Rattus norvegicus: one gene and its partners. The protein of the gene in region 1 interacts with the protein of each later gene in a pairwise test. Links are inferred from orthologs where the notes say so. Each region holds a gene or a part of one and is shown on either strand. Other genes may lie near its edges.

Region 1 (4,002 bases):
CACACACACTATCATCATACAGTCACACACACACGTCTGTACAGTCACACAATCATCTGTACAGACAGACAGACACACACACAGTCTGTACAGTCACACACAGTCATCTGTACAGATACACACACTGTCATCGTACAGTTACACACACACACACTATCATCATACAGTCACACACACGTCTGTACAGTCACACACACACACACAGTCTGTACAGTCACACACAGTCATCTGTACAGATACACACACTATCATCGTACAGTTACACACACACACACACTATCATCATACAGTCACACACACGACTGTACAGTCACACAATCATCTGTACAGACACACACACACACAGTCTGTACAGTCACACACAGTCATCTGTACAGATACACACACTATCAACGTACAGTTACACACACACACACTATCATCATACAGTCACACACACACGTCTGTACAGTCACACACACACAGTCTGTACAGTCACACACAGTCATCTGTACAGATACACACACTATCATCGTACAGTTACACACACACACACACTATCATCATACAGTCACAGACACACGTCTGTACAGTCACACACACACAGTCTGTACAGCCACACACAGTCATCTGTACAGATACACACACTATCATCGTACAGTTACACACACACACACTATCATCATACAGTCACACACACACGTCTGTACAGTCACACACACACACAAGTCTGTACAGTCACACACACACACAATCATCACCATACAGTCACACATACACACGTCTGTACAGTCACACACATACACACATCTGTACAGTCACACACGCACACACACACACACACACACACACAGCTGTACAGTCCTGCCTTCCTCCTCCTCAGGGCTCCCTCTCTCTTCATCTTCTCCCAAGTAGTCCCGCTCTGACCAACCCAGGGGATCTGGATCTCTCTGGCTGGTTTCTGGTCCTAGCCACCAGCTCTGGGCCTCCTATCCAGATTTGGCCCAGGCTCCATGTGGCCTGTCTGAGAGGCTGGCCTCAAGCCCGGCAGCAACTCCACATTTCTCTGTTTTTCCTCCCCCCCCCCTCTTTCCCGGAGTTAACAAGAAGCAGATGTGGCTCACGATGGTTGGAGAGGTGGGGGAGGAAGGGGGAGGCTGGACCGCCAGCCAGACAGGGGGAAGGGAGGGGAGAGAAGGGAGGGAGGGAGAAGGCTGGCCCGCACCATAGTCACTCTTGTGCCTCTCAACAGCCACAGGGGCAAAGCTCTGTCATCTTTAGGATCCAGTCACCAGGGAACAAAACAGGGAGACCAGAAGAGGGCCAGCTGGAGCCAGGGGGTGGAGGCTCAGGAAGCAGTTTCTGAAAGGGGCAGGGACCAGGCACAGGAGGCCAGGGGCCCGGAGAACAGACTCCCCTCAGAAGTGCAGAAGAGGAGAGCGGAAGGAACTGAGGGAGGGACAGACAGGAGCCTGAGGAGGAAAGAGGAGGGGGAAAGAGGGGTCAGGCCCAGCAGCCAAGGAGGAGGCGTGCAGCTGGGGGCTGCAGGCAGGAAGCTAGGGACAGAGCTGGCTCAGCGTGCTGTCCCCTGAAGCAGCGGCATCCCCTGGAAGCACGGGTACAGGCATCATTGGTCAGACCAAGATGTGTCTCTAAGGGTAGCAAGGAACACCTCACCATGGCCCCCAGAATCCTCTGGAGCTGCTATCTCTGCTGTCTGCTGACCATTGCCACAGAAGCTGCCAGCTACCCTCCTCGGGGCTACAGCCTGTACACAGGGGGCAGTGGGGCCCTCAGTCCTGGGGGACCCCAGGCCCAGAACTCACCCCGGCCTGCCAGCCGCCACAGGTAAGAGTCTGTGTCCCAGCCAGGGCTGGAAGCTATGGTTGGGAAAGTCTTTAGAAGGTGGGCAACGGGCTTAATGCAATGAGAAGGGCAGCATGGAGGCCCATCCATCAATGTGCCGCCCATATGAACCTCCCAGTGGAACTTTTTCCAGGCTTTGGTGGCCTAAGGGCCATCAGCTCTGACCTCTTCCCTCTTCCCTCTTCCCTCTTTCCTATGGAGGTCTGCAGTTCGGTGCCCAGGGAAACTACACCAAGGGCCATGGACCCTCCTTCCTGCCAGCTGCCAGCTGTGTGCCAGCCAGCTCTGGATCAGGCAGACCTTTTGTCCTTCTCTAGGGCTTCCCTGGCCCCGTCCGCTAGTGTATAATTCTGACACTCCTCCTGCTCTGTTCCCTCTGGCATCGCAGCAGCCCATAGCCTAGAAGCCAGTGTGAATGGGGCCAAGAGGGCAGCACCACAAGCCCCAAGGGGACAGAGCCCATCAGTAGCTCATTCTTTGCTTAAGCATAGGCCGGACATTTGCCTGCCCCGCTCTTCTCCTGGAGGGTTGGGTGGGAGCACCGTGTGCAGAAGATCATCTACAGGAACCCAGCTGGTCGGCTTACACAGCTGGGGTTTGAGATAGGCCCAAAAAAGTACACAAGAGACCGTGGATTCTAGGGTGCTCTGGGACCCCACAGTCAGGAGGACTGACGTCTCTGTGTGTTTGTATCCTTATGTCTTCCCTGTCTTGAAAAGTCTTTATCTGCTATAGTGACATAAGAAAGTGTGTGTGTGTGTGTGTGTGTGTGTGAGAGAGAGAGAGGGGGGGGGGAATGGTGCTGCCCCTGCAAAAACCCTACCTTTCAGTGGGTCCTCAAGGCCCCCTTCATCTTTTGACCCTCCTTCAGCCTCTGGGCCCACTGGGGCTTGTGTCTTTGGTCCCTTGGCCCAGGTAGGGTTGTGCCTACAGGAACTGGTGTGCCTACGTGGTGACTCGGACAGTGAGCTGCGTCCTTGAGGATGGAGTGGAGACCTTTGTCAAGCCAGACTATCAACCCTGTGGCTGGGGCCAGCCCCAGTGTCCTCGAAGTATCATGTGAGCCCCCAACTTTAAAGGATTGGGTACTCAGTGGGATCTGGGCAAGGGGAGGCAGCTGGTGGTCATTTAGGGGGTCTGTACAAAGGAGGGAGCAGGGGAAAGGATAAGACTTCAGTCAGAACCGTTTTGAGAGGATAGTGGAGCTTGGTTGGTGAGCTGCCCCAGGCATTCTTTCCCTGTCTCCAGCCTTCAGGTCTTCTGCTGACACAGGTCAGCCTCAAAGAGATTAGCTCAGGGTTCCAGCACAGAGAAAGGGGAGAAAGAGCCAGGATCTAACCCAGGGCTAAAAAGCCGATAGCTGGAAAAAAAAAAAAAAAAAAAGCTGATAGCTGTTGAATGACCAGGGCCACATAGTGGCCAGAGAGGTAGATCTAGCCTGAAGCACAAGGTGACAGGAGAGAATACGAAACCTTCCTTTCCTTTGCCTAGGTAGAAACCTTCCTTTCCTTTGCCTAGGTACCGCAGCTTCCTTCGCCCTCGCTACCGGGTGGCCTACAAGACGGTGACAGACATGGAGTGGAGGTGCTGTCAGGGGTATGGGGGCGATGACTGCGGAGAGGGTCCTGCTTCTGTTCTGGGCCCTGCACCCTCCACACCACTTCCCCGGCCCAGGCCTGCGCGTCCCAACCTGTCTGGCTCCAGTGCCGGCAGCCACCTCAGTGGACTAGGAGGAGAAGGTGAGTCTGCATGTTGCCCGGGATGGGGAAATCCTGAGTGGAAAATGTGGGGCTCCGCTGTGGAGGGTGGGAAACCCCTGAGCTCTAAACTAGGGGGAAGGTGGACCGAACGGAGATAATGACATCCCTGAGACTTCGCATGTTTGTGTGCTTGTGTGATTTGAGTGTGTTTGACGGGAGGGGCAGGGGGGAGAGAGCAGGAGTTGGGAGAGACTGATTCAAAGACCTGAAAACTTAAGAACTGAGTAAGAAGGCATAGAGACAATTTGTTCACATACTCCCTCTTGTGGCCAAGGTCCTTCCTACTCGGGAACTGCTGTGGGAGAAGCGGGGGTAATTCCCTTGAGAAGCTCTAGCTGTCCGCAGGGAAGAGAGTTAAGACTACAAATCCTAGCATGCATTGCACCTGACTACAGGT
Region 2 (4,092 bases), on another chromosome or scaffold:
GGATTTCAGCATAAGCGATTTCACTTTTGCTCTGGAACTCAGTCCAAACCAATGACCTCTTATGAGTTTTAATTGACATTTATGCTCCCACTCAAATTCAGAAGAAAACCTAATACCGAGACCATTTGTTTTTATTTTTCAAAAAATAGACAATTAATTTATTTATTTACTTTACATCCCAACATCAACACCTCCTCTCCTCCTAGTCCCACTCTCTTATATGTCCTCTGCCCTCCCCTTCTCCTCTGAGAAGGGGTAACCCAACCCTGGGAATCACCCCCCTTCCCATGTACCAGTCACTGTAGCCTGTACTTTCTAATTGGGCTGACAACACAAAAGAAACCCTTATCTTTTTTTTTTTTTTTTTTTTTTAAGACAGGGTCTCATATGGTTCTGGTGTCATTGTAAACTGGGTCCTATCACCACCACCACCCCCCCCACCCCACCCCCGCCCTCCCTGGCCCAGACAGGTTTTTTCCTGTATAGTCATGGCTGTCCTGGAACTCTGGCCACAAACTCACAGAGATCCTCTTGCCTCTGCCTCCTGAGTGCTGGGATTAAAGGCCTGCACCGCCGCCAACCCGGCCGCCCCATCACTACTCTTGATGCAAAGAATTTTGCTTCTGCCACTGTGTGTCATTTTAGACCGAGCTATGGGTTAATACGTACTGATACAGGGCACCACTATGTAGAAGGCCCTGATATCTCTTTGCTGTCTTCCACTCTTCCACAGCTCTGTGCTCAAGTGCCGCCCAGCTATGGAGTAACTCGTTCTTGGTATAGGATTAGGGGACACTACCATTCTTGACAGAAGCCAGCTATTTTTCTGGCAAAGGAAATGCACACATCTAGCGGGAGTGTTTGTTTACAAAATCTTCACAACAAAAACAAAGCTTAGAAGAAAACTTTCAAGCGTCATAAAATCCAACCCAGGAAGCAGCTTTTCCAGCTTCCTGGTCTGTCTTGTGCTGGTGTCAAACTTTGTAACCGTCTAGCAAATTACAGAGGGAATTTGCGTAGAGAGCCCTGGTTTCCATACAGTTTTTTTCAACAGCGCGTTCCGCAGAATGCACACAAATAAGCTTTTCAAAGCAGGTCTTGGAATTACTGCCAGTATAGAAACAGCAGCAATGGCGCCCGGGACGAGGTCCGCAGGGCAAGGAGCAGAAGCATCCTGTTTCTGAAATAAACGAAAGTGAAAGAACGGCCTGTGACTGAGCCTGCTCATTGCAGAGGCCAGGTTTGTGTTTCCGAGGTGGGGTTCGGTTCTACCGGCGCTGCCGGCTTCCGAGCGCTGCGCGGCAGAGAGGGTGAGTGCTTGTCCCACCGGATGGTCCTCTGCGTCCCTGCTGTCCCACCACCCTCGCTCAGGGATGCTCCACCCCGCGCGCTCAGAGGGCGGAGGACTGCGGCTTCCAGCCCAGCATTGTGGGCCTCAGGGTCCCCAGTGCTCTGTCTGGGGACTCACCTGCTCCGGGCTCTCAGCCTTGGGTTGCTTCCCTTCCTGGGAAAAGGAAAGTTATAGTCACTGGGACTGGCTCCAGCATGTTCTTAGTAAAATGGCTTTCCCGGGAAGACTATTATTCATTTTTCCTTGTTAGGTGCTGAATTCTGTAGTCACGCCTCACTTTTTCAGAATATGTAAGATTTTTTGTTTTGTTTTGGGAGGAGATGTTGAAGGGAAAATACTTAATAAATTTCTAGGAGGCCACTGGTTTGGACTAAGAGGACTCCTGTTCCAGAGGCATCCAAGCTAACTTGTGTGCCTCTGAAGGAAACTTTTCCTGTGTCCGGTCCAGCCAGGAGAGAGGGGAATCAGCAGGTTTCACTGGGCCAGAGAATGAAATCACCTCTCCTTTAATCGTCACATAAAGTTGCTGGACATTCACCAGTCCCTTATTGTGTTCCGGTCTCCCTGGCCCTGTCTCACAGAGAACTTAACTCTGAATCAATATGTTCACTTCCTGCTTTTTCAGCTTTCTTCCCTGCCTATAAACCAAACTTCTGCACAGCAACGAAAACAGTCGAGGCAACTGCTTTCTATTTACACTGTGCTGGCTTTGAACTCTTGATCCTCTTGTTACAGAGCTGTGCCACCACCCAGATAGACCAGTTACTTTATTGTACTCAATCAACTGTCCCCTGATTATAAAAGAAATACAATTAGGATCTTTTAATTGTTAAAATTGTATCCATCTTTTGACATGTTTCAGGTGTATACAGCATGGATACATTATATTTTCTTCCTTTCTTTATGCTGCCGGGAACTCGGTGTATTGCATCACCCCATCTTTGGACATGTTTCAGGTGTATACAGCATGGATACATTGTATTTTCTTCCTTTCTTTATGTTGCCAGGAACTCGGTGTATTGCATCACCATGATATAAGTATACTTAGGAAAATGAGATAATAGTTTATTTTTTTAAGTTTACTGCCATAATTAATTACATGGCCTTGGTGGCTTATACACACATGCGCCTGCATGGACACACTTTTTAATTTAAAACTATTTACTTTTAGTACCACTTTAAAACGAGATGTGTGCCTGTGTATGTCTGTGTGTCTGTCAGTTGTCAGGGTCTGTGCGTCTCCCTGGGAAAGTAAAGGGGCTAGCAGAGCTGTCTTCTGTCCTGGGAGCTCTTGGGACGAACTCCTTCCACTTTCTGGATCAGCCTTCTTTGCTTGGCTTGGCATTCCGTCTCCCATTTCCAAAGTCAGGATCAGCATTGCTTCTCTGATCGTGTTTTTGCCTCCTATCTCAGTCTAATGCTGATGTTATCCCCTCCTTTAATCTAGAGGAGTTTCTGGTTAGGTGAAGTTTTCACATACAATGCAGCATAATCTCTATATTGTGTGTGTGTGTGTGTGTGTGTGTGTGTGTGTGTGTGTGTGTGTGTGTACATACCTGAATGCACCTGTGGAGGCCAGAGATAGAACTCTGGATATTGTCTTCTCTTTTGCTCCACTTTAATTTCTGAGTCAGGGTCTCTCAGTGGACCTGTAGTCTTGGCTACACTGTCTGACAGCAAGTCTCAGAATGCACTGCACCTTGCCCAGGATGGGAAGTACCAGTGCTTACCCAGCAAGCTCTTTACCCTGGAGCCATCTCTTCAGCTCCTACCTCCGTATTTTACAATCAGCCTCCTGAATTCAGTTTGCAGCCTTAAATCTTCTCTGCAGTGTAACGTTTTTCCCAAGTTCTTGGGACTAGAACATGGATGTCTTTGAAGGGGTCATTTTTCTGCTTAGTATAAGATTGCTTGAAAGGGAAGAATTACCATACATTCCTCACAGTGTGAAAGGGAAAAATATTCAGATGAGAAATGCGATGAAGATATTCTGGGGGTGTTATGCAATAGACCACTTACATCAAGAGCTTTTAAAAATATTGGTGCTTTGGGCTGGAGAGATGGCCCAGCAGTTAAGAGCAGAGACTGCTCTCCTGAGTTCAGTTCCCAGTAACCACATGGTGACTCACAACCATCTGTAATAGGATCTGATGCCCTCTTCTGGTGTGTCTGAAGACAGCGACAGGGTACTCACATACATGAAATAAATAAATCTTAAAAAAAAAAATCTAAAAAAAATGTTTAAAAAAAGAGTGTTGGTGTTTTAATATTTAAAAACAATTGTAATTTCTCTCTTAAGAAATGTAATAAGAGGGGTTGGGGATTTAGCTCAGTGGTAGAGCACTTGCTTAGCAAGCGCAAGGCCCTGGGTTCTGTCCCCAGCTCCGAAAAAAAGGAAAAAAAAGAAATGTAATAAGAGGAGTTCATGTCTATATGGACATGAATATATATGAATATGAATATATATTTTACTGGGCAGAAAAATATCCAATATAAAATACACAGTATAGTATGCACAGTATAGTATAGTTCTTGGTTGCATAGGTTCCTGCCCTGAATGCAAGCAGGAGTGCCTGCCTGTAGTCCCAGTCTGTAGGTATTCGTTGCTTACTTAAAGTGACACATATAATTAAAGTGCCTTGTAAGCAATAAAGAAGAACTAATGTCTTCTGGGGAGGTCAGAAAAGGCTTCAGGAACCTTATGGAGGTTTGCTATGACCCTCGAAGAACCAAAGAATTTC
Region 3 (4,006 bases), on another chromosome or scaffold:
CTTTCTAATTCTTGTTGGGGAGTATAGCCAAGCCAAGATCACACTTCCAAGTGACAACTGTGTATGGCAGACTTTTCAACGTACACGTTCATTTCTACAAGCAGAACCTGGCAAAAGCAGAGAGGTTTGTATTCACTTCCTCAATAACACATCACCCGATCCTCTACTTCTTGTTTAAAGCCAAACCAAATTCTAATTATAGATTTAAGGCTTTCTCTCTTCTTTTAAGAGCTTAATCCACTTTTTTTTTAAAGAAAAATAAAGCCCAATAAGTCAGTTATACAGAAAGAAAACAAAATTATCTAGAAATCACTTTAAACAGAATCAGTTGATATAGCTGATATAATTTGGTGTTAGCAATTTAAAATGAGGCAATTTAAAAGTTGGGGTGTGTACCGAAATAGTTAGAAGGAGGAAAGGGAGTGTGAGGCCTTCATCAGAGCCCTTAAACTATCCAAGCAACGTTCCTATGTGTGGCCATTTGGACCAATGTTTCTATGTTTGACCAATGTCCAAAGCTCTTATACATGCATAAACAGACATGCCTCAGGTGGACTAGTGAAAACAAATGCACACTTGCAGATGTGCTAAAGTCACGGATGACAGCTGTTGGTGACAATCACTTGCTTTAGTCTATTACACAACACTGTGAATACACTTTTGACACAATGGTAAGCTGAGAAACGGTTATGACACTGAACTTTATGTGACATAGCTACTTCTATCACAAAGTCTCAGAATAAAAATGTTGCCATAGAAGGGCCCTCCAATGCAGCAACCACTTGCCAAGTATTATACTAAGCATTCTACATATGCCCACGAATGTAATCGTACAACACCCTAAAAGGCCCGTAAAGTTATTCTCGCTTTATGAGACACTGTGGGCTAACTGTGAGAGGTGAGGTACTTCATTCATGGGCCCGTGCTAACAGGACCCCACTACTACAACAATCACAGTATTAGGAGTACTGCTCAGAGTTCAAGGGTTCCAAAGATACACTAAACTCAGGAAGATCAATCACACCAGCTCACTGTAAAGCCCACTGACTGTAACAAGTCCACCATCTAGCTACATTGTATTTGTTTTAGTGGCTTAGAATTCCACATGGTATGTTCTTTCAAGAAAGCCACTGAAACACAAAAACAGTTCACAAACTGCCTTCATCAAGTATCAAGATTTGCAGAGTAAACGTGATTTTTCTCATGTGTCAAGGGCTGTACAGAATCAGAATATTGCCATTTTCCTATCAGAATTTTGCCTGCAAAATACTTACCTCGATGGAACTGGCTATATTTAAACACTCCTCCATTCCAGGAATATCCAACTGAATTATTCGGAAATCTTTACATTTTATGATAATAGTACCCAGAGAGCCCACAAATCTGTAAGAAATGACAAATCATGAGAATGGTAAGAAAACCAGTGAGGACAGTAGGTGAGAACCAGAACATGGAGAGCCAGGGATTCAGCCTTTATCATGCAGGCATGAGAGACCAGTGAATACACTTATGCCACAAAGAGTAGTAGCCTGCTGCTGGGATGGATGGATGGATGGCTGGCCTGCAACCTCTTCATCCAACACTATGACTTCAGATGGTCCTAAGGCATAATCTCTGTAGAAATCGTAACATCCAAAATATTTAATCAAGCAGTAGACAGTATGTTGTTACACACACTTCATAATGAATTATATAATTTGCCTTCTGCCTAGAGTACACAGGGTTCATAGGGACACCGACAAAGCAGAGAAACTAAGCGCAAATCAAAGTATATGTAACTGTTTGACTCTGAGGCACTCTTTTGCACAGGTAAAGAGTACAGAGTGGGAGGCTGACACCTTAATGATCTTTAAACCTTTAAAGGAGAATAAAATGCGCATATGGAAAAGTAATGCAGTGTACTCAGTTAAGAACTATAGCCAGGCATAGTGGCCCATACACACACAGCTGTAATTCCAGCACTTACTTGGGAGGCTGAGGCTGGAGAGTAGGAAGTTCAAGACTGGCCTGGGCTGAAAAGGGGTGAGCATGCCTATTTAAGAACGGCGGCGCGTTGGGGGCCGGAGGCAGGGGAGAATTAAATTGTATTTAATTACAACTTGGTAAAGTCAGATTGGCAACTAGCAATTCGAAAACTGGCAAGGAACATTCAAGAAATGTGATGAGAGAAATTTTTTTTACGGAGAACACTGAAAATACGACCGCTGCGACTCTGAGACCTTAGCCTGGAGATGCCAGGTAGCCAGTGCAGTTGGCTTTCAAATGTAGGCCACAGGAGGCTCATTTGGCTGGCTGAGCGAGGATGCCAAAAATAAAACACCTGAAAGCGTCTGTTCTGTTCCTGGCTCCTCACGGACCTGGGTGTGGTAGGCGCTCACCGTTTGTCAATGGCGTCGATATTTGAATGGAGGAGCCAGAGCTCCTCAGTGTTGTCCTGCCGGGAAGACAGGATCAGGTGGTGGCCCGTCAGACATAGGGTCCCTTCCACAGCGGGGTAGAAAGGCCGGTGCAGCACCACATTGTCCACCCGCGGGGTCTTAATCAGCTCCGCAAACTCCATGTCTCTAGCGGAGGGAGGCCTACTCCCGCAGACGCAGGGCGGTTAATCCGCAGACCTAGCGCCTCGGCTGGGCGGGTCCGGGAGGTCGAGCCCCGCCCCTATTGGGCGGGTGCGTTAAGGCCTGAGGGCACCGCCCTGGTCACTTCCCCGAGTCTCTTCGGCACCACTGGCCTGCACTCGGCGCAGAGAAGGCTTCACGCCAGGCCTTGCACTTTCTGCTGCCACCGGCCCCTGACCGGCGGGCTGCGGAGGAGACGGACCTGGTGTCGGGGTAGCATCCGAGCTCGAGCAGCTAGGGACTTCTGGCGGAAGTAGCTACTGGACGCTGCACCCGGCAGTAACTCCGTGCAGAATTAGAGGCACTCAAGACTCGGAAGACTTAGAAGCCGGACCGGAAGTTGGTCCTTTGTTAGATCCGGTGGAACACAGCCAGAAACAATGACTTTATGTTCCTACAACGGAGCGGGGGAAAAAAGAACTCTCATCATCTACGGGCGCAATCCTTGCCCTTCAAATACTCCTCATCGGAAAAGGCAGGACAAAAAGATGTCACTGACCTGCGGGGATCCGCTTGAGTGGTGTCCCTCAAGAGCTCTTCTGGGCGTTTGCTATAATTGGTGGTTATTATCAGGGATTGGTTACGAAGAGATGTCAAATGTAGGATCGAAGTAGTGGTTGTGATCGAGAAATAGCCTTCTAGTGTCTGGAAGGGACACGGGGCTCTATTCCTTAGACCCTTTGAGAACGCCATGATTTTAACCAAGAACAGCGTATTCTAAAAGGATGCAAAGAGAAACTTTTTAATCCTCGCCCTGTGAAGGACTCTAGTAACTGCAGAAACAGCTCAGTTAATCTGTAGCAAAGCCGGAAATCAAAGACCTTGCTAAGTATATTGGTCACGACTTCATAGCATCCCGGCTAAGTACAGTCTAGCTGAACTGCTCAAGGACAGTGCAATGACAGACTTTTGCTGTTGTAATTTCCCCCTTCTCGCTTTCCGTCTTTCTGCTTTATCCCAGAATAAGAATTATGTTTGAGTCCTGGCCTGCTCTTACTTTGTTAGCCGTGAAAATTCTCACCATGCAGTATCTAAGAACAGCGAGGTAGCTGACTTTCGAGTGTGCAAAGTGAAGCTGGTCAGACTGCACAGTGTTTGCCCTTGATTGTGTTCTGGTCTCTCCTAAAAATTTTCCCTTCTTAAATCACTCCTGCAATTCCAATTTATGTGCAAAAGAAAAACAACTAGCAACGAATGCTAAGGGAATGAGGCAAAGTAATGTGAAGGTATTTTCCAGACTGGATTTGTTCATTTTCTTCCTCATCTGACACATTATTTTAATTACAAATTGTGGAATCTAGAATTTACTTCTAATCTGAAAAATAATGGAAAATTTTTACAGAGAAAACATGAAAGTAAAACCTTGAAGATTAAGGTTCCCTGAATGG
Region 4 (3,168 bases), on another chromosome or scaffold:
GGTGGCAGAAGGAGGAGGCAGAGGTAGGGAAGATCACCCCAAGTTTGAGGCCTGTTAAATATAGCTAGCTCCAGTCCATTAGGGACTACATACTGAGAACCTGTCACGCACACCAAAAATTCATATAAAATGATGACTTCTCTCTGTAGAAACCATTCCAGACCTGTTTTAAAGCATTAGTTTGTATTCAGCAAGAGTCTTTTATTTTTAAATAAAAGATTGAAACAGACTAATACAATGTGTTTCAAAACTGACATGCAAAACTTAGAGAAGATATTTTCTGCTTGATGGCATAAGCAGCATTTTGTTTTCATTTTGCAGAATGAAGCATTTCTTTCAAAACTGAAAACTCACCAGCCTTGGTAGTGCAGGCCTTTAACCTTAGCTACAAGGGAAGCTGACATAGGAGGACTGAAATTCAACAACATAGACAGGCTTTTTTTTATGTTTAAGTAGTGTGTGTATTGGGGGGCAGGGGTTGAAGCGCTTTGTAAATACACCTCAGGAGATGAGAGCTTCTCCAGCAATTATTAAACTAGAGAATCAATCCCCAGCATTTCAGAAAGAAGTGGTCCTTATAATTTTGAATTTTCTAAAGCATGCTGATCGTGTGTGTACTCGCGCATGCATCCCTGCGCGGGGACGTGTACGTGTGTGTGTGTGTGTGTGTGTGTGTGTGTGTGTGTGTGTGTGTGTGTGCGCGCGCGCGCGCGCGCGTGTGTTTTAAGGAAATAAAGAGAAATATATACAGTCTATCCCACTCTCCACCTCCTGGTGTCTCATGGGGAGAAATCCTGGAGAAAACATTTGTATAAGGTGGAGAGGAATCTCAAAGAAGGCCAAAGCCAAGACCTGGCTATAGTGGGAGGGAGAGATGGAGGATGGTGCAGACTCTCCCTGGTAACAGGGAAGGGAGATGTCCAACCTCCTGACGGTGATGCCACTTGTGGTTCCTCAGATTGGTGCGGATCCGGATGAGTGACGGGTGGGGCCCGAGGTGAGCGCTGGCGGCGGGCGGCGGGGGCGGGGCCTCCTGTCGCACTGGCCTCCTGAGCTGGGGGAGCGAGCTTGGCAGTGACGCGAGGCCCTCACGTGACCCGGGGCTGCAGAGCGACGCAGCCTTGGGTGCAGTCGTCACTCGCGTCTGGCCACCAGCTCAGAGCTTGTCTGCGCGCGGCGGGCTGGCATCGGGCCCAAGGCGAGCGGGGCAGGTAAGGGGCCTGCACGCAGCGGCCCTGAAGGCGACAGCCAGGCGTCGGGCGGGCGCGCACCCCGGGACGGTGCAGCGGCTCGGCGGCTTTGTGCATCGCGGAGGGAACCCCGGCTGCGTCCGGGAAGGGGCGCCCCCGCTCAGGGGCGGGAACGGCGCGGGGGTCCCGGGAAAGGGGCGGCTGGACCTGCCGGCCTGCGGGCAGCGGAGAGCGCTAGCCAGGGAGAGCCGGGATGGGGCAGGGCTGCTGGAGATCGTGGGCGACCGCTGCGGGTAGGGGGATGGGCGGTGGGTCTGGGGAAGGGGGTGCGGTGCGGAGCCCGCGCCGAGTCCTTCCCATCCCACCCCGTCTGCAGGTCTGCTAGCCGGGAGTCGCGGAGGCGCGTCTCGCAGAGAGGATTGAGAGGAGGACTACGCGGCAAGGGATAGGCCCAGGTCCGTTCAGGGGCAGTGTGTGTTTTGTTGGGGGTAGGGGGAAGCCCCGTCTAGGACCCCAGTGAAAACCCCCACCTCACACTACTCTCCATCTCAGTCCTCCATTTTGGTGCCTCAAAGCTCAGGGAAAGGATCCTGGGAAATAAAAATGGTGGGCTTTGGGGGAGGGAGGGAAAAGAGAGCTGGGGGGTGGGAGGAGGGACTCGAAATGGAGGTTCCGTAGAGGTTGCCTGGAGACCCTAAGATGGGGAAAAATAATAATGAAAACCCTTGCAGTTAGTCTCTGAATTTTGCTGGTCACAGCACCAAGCATTCAGTTTTTTTCCTTGCCCTCTCTTACTTGTGTTCAAAGAATAACAACCCGAAAACAAAATCTCATCATGGCCAATATCCACCAGGAAAACGAAGAAATGGAGCAGCCCCTGCAGAATGGACAGGAAGACCGCCCCGTGGGAGGAGGTGAGGGCCACCAGCCTGCTGCAAACAACAACAACCACAACCATAACCACAACCACAACCACAACCACAACCACAATCATCACCGGAGAGGACAGGCCCGCCGACTTGCCCCTAACTTTCGATGGGCCATTCCCAACAGGCAGATGAATGATGGGTTGGGTGGAGATGGAGATGATATGGAAATGTTCATGGAGGAGATGAGAGAGATCCGGAGAAAGCTTAGGGAGCTGCAGTTGAGAAATTGTCTGCGTATTCTTATGGGGGAGCTCTCTAATCACCACGACCATCACGATGAATTCTGCCTTATGCCTTGACTTCGGTCATTTCCCCTGAGATTCATACTGTGATTCCCGCTGTATTCCTAGCCCTTGCATTTTCCTGACATGCCTTTAAATGACCCGTTTGTGGTGAGCCTTGTGTTATTTCCATGTGCCAGGCGGGGCTTGTGTTGCCAACTTATAATTGGAAATTGCCTTCCCACTCAGTGTGAGTTTCTGTCAACAGTACAGTGTTGCCCATTTGCATGGAAAAAATGTAAAGTCAATAAAGCAACTGAAAAGCAACCTGGGTAATCATTATTGTCTCCTTAAAGCATAAATACCTAGAGTAAAAAATGAGCTACAAAAACTCTGAAAGTGTTGGGGGGACACGTATAACTTTCCTTTTATTTGGGGCTTCATAAACTTTTGGGGTATAAGTTTATGAATCTAGTGCAGGTTTATAGAATTATTTGCTCAACAAACTTAAAGAGTAAATCCTCTTGGTGAAGATAGAATTTCTTAAAATTGTCCAATATGGTTTAGATTTTTAAGCCCCCAGCCGTCCCTAAATAGTTGGGGTAAACTGAGGAATATCTTCAGATCTTGTCCATTTTCCCAATTCCATACAGGAAAAGGAGGTGGGTTCCTCCATGTCATCTGTATGCTGCAATCCTTTTTCGGTTACAGGTATGCGATTTGGGTACACATTCCCTTCTGAATCTATACCTATAGGCCTTAGCACAGCTCAATTTGACTGAAGTATGTAGTGAGAGGTATGATAGGGTAGAAAAACGTCTATAGCTT

Evidence for each region.
Region 2: the proteins of Emilin1 (region 1) and Nmi interact in binary tests that used the Homo sapiens proteins (3 or more experiments, as listed by UniProt). The two-hybrid records come from large-scale screens. The link is inferred for Rattus norvegicus from reciprocal best matches to the Homo sapiens genes EMILIN1 and NMI.
Region 3: the proteins of Emilin1 (region 1) and Mtmr9 interact in binary tests that used the Homo sapiens proteins (3 or more experiments, as listed by UniProt). The link is inferred for Rattus norvegicus from reciprocal best matches to the Homo sapiens genes EMILIN1 and MTMR9.
Region 4: the proteins of Emilin1 (region 1) and Bex3 interact in binary tests that used the Homo sapiens proteins (3 or more experiments, as listed by UniProt). The two-hybrid records come from large-scale screens. The link is inferred for Rattus norvegicus from reciprocal best matches to the Homo sapiens genes EMILIN1 and BEX3.

Annotation. Positions count from the first base shown.
Region 1 is NC_086024.1:31,180,856-31,184,857, reverse strand, and holds the start of Emilin1 (EMILIN-1 isoform 1 precursor), read left to right. Parts: upstream 1-1,200; 5' UTR 1,201-1,657; coding exon 1,658-1,827; intron 1,828-2,062; exon of another isoform or gene 2,063-2,530; intron 2,531-2,778; coding exon 2,779-2,904; intron 2,905-3,336; exon of another isoform or gene 3,337-3,363; coding exon 3,364-3,584; intron 3,585-4,002. UniProt on the Homo sapiens protein: Involved in elastic and collagen fibers formation. It is required for EFEMP2 deposition into the extracellular matrix, and collagen network assembly and cross-linking via protein-lysine 6-oxidase/LOX activity.
Region 2 is NC_086021.1:56,845,743-56,849,834, reverse strand, and holds the start of Nmi (N-myc-interactor), read left to right. Parts: upstream 1-1,291; 5' UTR 1,292-1,310; intron 1,311-4,092. UniProt on the Homo sapiens protein: Acts as a signaling pathway regulator involved in innate immune system response.
Region 3 is NC_086033.1:41,964,336-41,968,341, forward strand, and holds the start of Mtmr9 (myotubularin-related protein 9), read right to left. Parts: upstream 2,802-4,006; 5' UTR 2,561-2,801; coding exon 2,379-2,560; intron 1,384-2,378; coding exon 1,275-1,383; intron 1-1,274. UniProt on the Homo sapiens protein: Acts as an adapter for myotubularin-related phosphatases. Increases lipid phosphatase MTMR6 catalytic activity, specifically towards phosphatidylinositol 3,5-bisphosphate and MTMR6 binding affinity for phosphorylated phosphatidylinositols.
Region 4 is NC_086039.1:104,063,759-104,066,926, forward strand, and holds Bex3 (protein BEX3), read left to right. Parts: upstream 1-1,137; 5' UTR 1,138-1,211; intron 1,212-1,247; exon of another isoform or gene 1,248-1,483; intron 1,484-1,566; 5' UTR 1,567-1,645; intron 1,646-1,997; 5' UTR 1,998-2,025; coding exon 2,026-2,418; 3' UTR 2,419-2,667; downstream 2,668-3,168. UniProt on the Homo sapiens protein: May be a signaling adapter molecule involved in NGFR/p75NTR-mediated apoptosis induced by NGF. Plays a role in zinc-triggered neuronal death.